2 separate regions of the Mus musculus genome follow, and region 1 is reported to be linked to region 2. The links are microRNA targets in miRTarBase. Many come from high-throughput screens and were not tested one by one. Region 2 holds a microRNA gene; the other region holds the end of a gene's coding sequence.
The links. Region 2 holds the annotated microRNA mmu-miR-1839-5p (AAGGUAGAUAGAACAGGUCUUG, at 1,241-1,262, shown strand). A microRNA usually pairs through its seed, bases 2 to 8, with sites in the 3' UTR of a target mRNA and lowers its output. Matches are read on the target gene's strand: a 7mer-m8 pairs with bases 2 to 8, a 7mer-A1 pairs with bases 2 to 7 and ends in A, and an 8mer does both.

Region 1 (3,000 bases), not on the chromosome of region 2:
CAACTTACAAAAGACATCCCTCTTTGTCACCAAATGGCAAAGCTCCTTGTTATGCTCCGTCTTCCCCTTTACCAGGAGATAGAAAGGTTTTCTCAGACAAAGCAGTTCTTCAGTCATGGACAGATAACGAGAGATTGGTTCCTAATGACGGTGCAGACTTTCCAGAGCACAGCTCCTATGGGAGAAATTCTCTGGAAGATAATTCCTGGGTATTCCCAAGCCCTCCTAAATCAAGTGAGACAGCATTTGGTGAAAATAAAAGCAAAATCTTACCTTTATCCAACCTGCCGCCACTGCATTACCTGGATCAACAGAATCAGAACTGCCTTTACAAAAGTTAATTTCACTTGTGATTTGATCAGGAAGACACGGACTCAGGGGTTCTCCCAAGAGATTGTTCAAACTGAAAGTGGACTTTGATTGATGGCTTGTGCAGTTCTCCAGTATGTACATTTGTACATTCTGTATAACATTATATATGTAATTGATTTTCCAGTATGGGAACCTCCAGTTGTACCTTTGATAACAATTATACATTTTTGCTTCTTGGATAGAGTGGAAATGAAAATTTTAGGCATGGTTTTATAAAGTATGTGACCTGCCTAAATATCCAATCATTAAATAAAAAGCAGCCTTTAGTATAAAAGAAAAAACATGTCTGCTGGTTTAGATTGTATCAAGAAGCAAGTAAGAGTAGGTTGAGCTTCTGTAAATTCCTGATACATAAAGATTTGAAATATAATGGAATAAAAGTAGGTTATGACATCTCTATGCTATTGTTTCAAGTTTTAAGATTTAAAATCATTTTTAAGTAAAATGTTTGTATATACAAATTTAAAGTGCAATTTGAATTCTAAGACTTGAATTAATGACTATTGAAGCCAACTTTTTCCCAGTATATTTAAATCCTAAATAGTTAAAAATGATGTGGTATGTGAATAAACTATTATAACCTTATACAATGTCCAGTTAAAAGAAGAAAGAGCATCTCACAGGGCAGTCTCTTCAGTGATGTGTAGTGAACCTCCCGTGTGGTCATTTTCAGCAGGACAGCTATTTGTTTTACACAGAGCAGCTTACACACTGTTAGATATGACATTTGAGAAAGTAAATGCTAATTAGCTGCATCTAGAACTAAATCTTGTGCTGTACAATTGTGAAATATCCCAACTCATTCTAAGTGCCCAATCACTTGTAAATAAGTAAAGAAATAACAAAGATGGCTTCATGTGGAAATTCATCTAAATTTTTTCAAGGTGGAAGCATTAAGAGTATTAGTAATCATGTATTACCTGTTTGATGTAAGAAGACTTTATCCTTTTCTAAGTGCCATTTCATGTATCTTGAATTCAGAGGATCTCTGACCTTGTATCACTGAATAGAATGCATAGCCAGGCACTGTTCACTGTTGAGTTATCTCAGTCACTTACTCATGCCTGTCCGTGATTAATGGAATTGATGTCAGATACTGGAATGTGTTCTGACCAATGAACACAGCTGACTCGAGGGAGTACAGGCTCCTGCCAAGTAATACAACAAGACCCAATATGCATAAAACAAATACACAAGCCCAGGCTCTAGCTGAAGGCACTAACTGACTGTGTAATAAGAAAGCAAACGCAGTTCTCGTGTGACTGCGGAGGCTGTCCATCATCTTAGGACTGATGTAGCTTAATGGTTTGCTTTTTTTCAAACCAAGATGAGAAGTTTTCTTTTGTAAAGAGAGTCTTATAATGTTTTTGAACAATGCCAAGAAATTGTTTTAATTAAAATTATTTTTGTTTTTAAAATGGAATTGGATGTGAAATACTGTCCTTGCCTATGTATATTTCCAAAGTCTGGTATTAATTTTATTTCTCCAACATACTCTGAATGGAGGGAATCCCCTCTAACTAGTAGTAACCGTTATCAAAAAGGATTGCTAGAACAGTCTGATGGGTGTTAACAGTCAAAGTGTTAAAAGCTTGTGTAAGACTCCTTAGCTAGAAAAGAGAAACCCTAAAATATTCTTACCTGGTCAGAAAATGTTTAAATATATACTTAGTCAATGGTAACAGCTGTATTTTGTGATTCATTAAAATTGACAGTCCCGTTGGTCCTTTTCATACTAGCTGACAACCCCAACAAGCTTCCCTAAATCTAATTAAGCTCACCTGTAACTCATTAATATTAGGACACAACCGACAGTAGCCACATGCTCCTTCCTCTTGGTCCTTTATTGTATTGAGCCAACGCCAAAATAGAACTGCCCCATGAACCTGTAAAAACCGGGGATCCAAAGACACATCTGCAGCAGGTACACTAGTCAGGCAAGCGGTGAATGGGAACACAGTTTATCTAGTACCTACTGGTTTCGAGACACACAACAGAAATCTTGTTACTATGTCACTGGCTTCTTGTAGTAACTGTACCTTTTCTTTGAGTCACTGAAAACAACTGTAGCCCTGTCCAATAGAAATGTGCCAGTGCCAACAAGGCCAGCGCAGAGATAATGGGCTGCTTGGCCTTTCCCCGTGCTGCAGTATCTTCCTGAGTTTGCTCTGCTTGGCCTCCAGTCACCTTCTGTTGATCTGTGCTTTGGGAGAATGGGTTCTTTGAGTTTCAAACAAAAGTAAAGTAGTTCTTTGGTGAGTACACTGTGAAGCTTGAACATGCATTCATTGACTAGGTTCATTTCATTTGAATGAGAAATTTTTTTCATAGGATTGGAGCCAAAGTTAAATCTTGCCTTCCTGGTTTTTTTAAAATAGTTTTTAATATAAAAAGCTCAGACTAGGGTAACACACTAAAAGAGAAACTTACCACAGTTCCTCCCAAACCCCCAATATCACAAAACAGAAGTTCACACTAACAATGCCAACTTCTTAAAATCCAAGATTATACAGTATTTTCAGTAGCCAAGTTCAAAAGATCAAGAAACAATGCAGAAACTTTTCTGTCAAAGGTTTCAGTAAAATAATTCACCAAATCTCATCTGTTTTCACATAAGCCTCTGATGGC
Region 2 (3,532 bases):
CCTCATCCCACAGCCCCAAGAGCATACACTGGACGGCTGCTTTGATTTCTAATGGAAAAGCTTTCCTTTGATTTGTGGGATAAGTTGATGTCTCATTTCTCTCTTCAGGTATATATATGTATTACCTGAAAGCCCAGGGCAGTTGTTGCCTTGGGTCATGCAGAGAATATGCAGCCACACCCATGCCTTAGATGTGTGTAATTCAAGTGGAGAAGACACAAGCCAGTGGTCGCAATATCAACACTTGAGTGTTCTGTAAACGGTGAGTGTGAGAGGTGGGAGTCAGCCAGTGCGTCTCAGAGGTGATTTAGAGCCATCAGGAGGACAGGAGGAGCTGCGCTGTAGGTGTTAGGGATCTCCTAGTTGATGGCTTATACAGTGTACATGGTAATAAGACAGTACGGAGTCTTACACTTTTCCCAGTGTGCCGGCCTTGTTTTCACTTCCTGTTTCGCTCTTGCTGCTTCTCTCCCCTTAGATTAATGTTTGCCATGTGCAAGGAAATGGCAGAGGCAAAATGCTGGCGGCTTATGGAAAAATAATTTATAAAAAAATGATGGGTTAGTTCTGCCAAATTTGAGTAAGTGAGAACACGAGAAACCATATTCTGTTAGAGCTTGAGAAAAGGAAGGAAAGTCAAACGGTGAGTCTAACCTCATTTATTCCAGGATTGGTGTCAGCAGAAAACCAACAGTGATGTGGTGGCACACAGTGAACTGACAGGACCCAGGCAGCAGCGGTTCTTTTGGTGGCAATGGTGCCATGTCATGGGTACTCTCCTTGCTGATGGCAGATACCGACAGGCAAACTGTTGCCTTGCGTTTAGCTCTGTTAACCATTGACAGTAAGGTAAGCATGTCTTCAGCGTTCATGGCTCTTAAAGATCTTGTCTGTAACACAAGGGTTTAAGACTGGGGTCTCATTTTGTTGTCCTGACTTAGACTTGGCAGTCCTCCTGCTTCAGCCTGCTAAGTGCCAAGATTACAGGGTTGAGCCAGCATGCCTAACTTCTAGTTTAGTTTCTTCAGACAGGGTCTCATGCAGCACAGGCTGGCTTTAGACTTGCTATTGAGCATAGGATTACCTTGAACCCTTGATCTTCCTGACTCTACCTTCTAAGTTCTGGGATTCCAGGCATGCTCAGTTAAAACAATAGGTGGATTTAGTCATATTCTTCTGGAGACTAAGACAATAGAGTCCTTGAAGTCAAGCTGACTCTGCCTTTAGCCTCCTACATGAAAAGGTAGATAGAACAGGTCTTGTTTGCAAAATAAATTCAAGACCTACTTATCTACCAACAGCCATTGCCTACGTCCCACAGTCTTCCTACAAGAAGTGGGTGCAGTGAACTCCTAGATGAGGAAGGCTGGGAAAGCCAGAGTGGACACAGTCTCTACTAGTGATAGAAAGGTGCTTGGAGGTCAGACAGGCGGGTTAGAAAGTTGAGAACTTGTTTCCTATAATGCAGGTTTGAGGAATCCAAAAAGTGTATTGTCACTTACACAATTCTGCATCACAATGAATTGTAGGTGGGTCACGTAGGGCAGTAGTTGTACCAGATGTGAGGGTGAGACGCTGAGACGCCCAGCTGCCCATAAACTGGTTCTGTTTGTACTAAAGGGCAAGTACACGCTTCAGAAATATTTTATTTCATGTGCACAAGTGATTACCATCATTTGAAAAGGCAGGGAGCTGATATGTGTGTGTGTGTGTATGTGTGTGTGTGTGTGTGATGAAGAGTGAAGAGGGGGCTTATGTGCCGTGGCACACATGAAGTTCAAAGACAACTCTCCTTCCATGGTGTCGGATTTGGGGATTGAACTCAGGTCCTCAGGTTTGGTAACAAGTACCCTTACCAGCCCCAGGAGCCAGCCATTAAACATACCAATTTTTTGCCATTTATAGTGGCTCATGCATGTAATCTCAGCATTTGAGAAGCTGAAGCAGGAGGCTTGCCACAAGTGTAAGGTCATCTTGGGCTACCTGGTGAGACACTGTCTCAAAAAACCCAAACCAAATAGCCACCACCACCAACAAAGTCCAAAACAAAAAAAGTAATTCTGTGAATGAAAGCTATTTAGTTTACCAGAAGCCAATGCTGTTTTATAGCCCATGTTCCTAACTACTTGTTCCTTCTCTCTGCTACTTGTTATGTTCTGGGTAGTGTGGCTTTTAAATGCTTGCAGTTTCCACCCACGTCCTGTGAAGGCTTTACAGACTCTCTCCCCTTTGCTAGGGTGTGGAGCCAACACCCGTGCGCTCACTCAGTCAAGAGTTAACGCGGTGGGGCAGGTAAAGCGGGAGAAGAGCGGATGTTGATGGAGTTTGGTTTATCTGCTTAGTATCAGGGTCGTGTGACAGTGGTCTCAGTGTTAAAGATACTTTTCTATGTTGAGCGTGGAGTTCAAGGCTAGCCTGGCCGAGTTATAGGCCCCCCAGGGCTACATAGTGAGACCCTATCTCAAACAAACATACAGATACTCACATATAAAAAAATGTTTTTAAATGTTTATCTGTTTTGTGTTTTAACAGATTTATCAGAGGTTGCAGCTGCACATGGCCATGAGGTAAACCTTGCCCCTGTTTGAAATTGAGTTTCATCAGCTTCTACATGGGATTATAAGGACTTGGAATATATCACAGACCCAGCAGGGTTTCCCCCCTCATTTTTTTTTTTTAAGATTTATTTTTCTTCCTAAAGATAACATGCTTAAACAAAGTTCTTTATGGTTAGTAACTGTGATGCTTGAAGTTGGTTATCCCTTACTCCAGTAAATTTTAAATGTCAAAGATATCTTGTTAAATAAAAAAAAAACTATCAAAATTTTTTGGGTATTATGTTTTAGTCATGTCCCCATATTTGTGTTATGTGCAAAGCAGTGCAGGAATCCCAGTAGACAACTCAAACTGCCCATGCCTGTGATCCACGTTTCCCATTTGGTGGTTTCTATTTCAGTAGTAGAGAACTTCTTTCACTAAATACACATGCATATTTCATTAACAGCTTCAGCCAGCTTGTGTTTACATCTGCAGTGCCTTATGTCAGGGTAAGAAGAAGTTGTGTGTGTGTGTGTGTGTGTGTGTGTGTGTGTGTGTGTGTGTGTGTGTGTGAGAAAGAGAGACAGAGAGACACAGACAGACAGACAAGCTCTGTGGGCAAGTGATAAATCAGGAATCTGAGCTGCTGCTTGCACTAGTAGAGTCCAGAAGGAGACGAGAGTTGTTACTGCATCAGAATTAGGGTGGGCTAGAAAACAAAATTCTAAAGAGAAGAGTGTCTCCCTGGGCAGTGAGTAGGACACACCTGCGTTGGCGGCATCAGGGGACTTGGTACTCAACAGTGTCCTGGTTTTTCTCAAGTGAAGTTATTACTCTGCAGCTGGAGTGCTAAGCTTTGACAGTGACTTGAGTTGGGGATTGGAAATGTGAACAGGGGAGCCAGCAATGGAGCTGGTGGAGACAGGCACCATGGTCCTTAGCTGAAGACAGTGAGGCAGGGCACCCAAGAGCTGCTGGCTACAGTGCGTTCCTC

Region 1: the mRNA of Azi2 is a reported target of mmu-miR-1839-5p. The part of its 3' UTR that is shown has no 7-base or 8-base seed match.

What each region holds. Positions count from the first base shown.
Region 1 is chr9:118,061,786-118,064,785 of GRCm38, forward strand. It overlaps Azi2 (5-azacytidine induced gene 2), which reads left to right. Exons shown (of 8, transcript NM_013727.4): 8 at 1-3,000. The coding sequence ends at 341. It overlaps Cmc1 (COX assembly mitochondrial protein 1), which reads right to left. Exons shown (of 4, transcript NM_026442.3): 4 at 2,737-3,000. Among named protein-coding and RNA genes, the nearest start is that of Gm51660, 10 kb to the right of the region's middle.
Region 2 is chr7:81,528,679-81,532,210 of GRCm38, forward strand. Mir1839 (microRNA 1839) reads left to right here and starts at 1,238; the gene lies at 1,238-1,310. It overlaps 2900076A07Rik (RIKEN cDNA 2900076A07 gene), which reads left to right. Exons shown (of 4, transcript NR_160675.1): 2 at 109-262; 3 at 669-849; 4 at 2,533-2,820.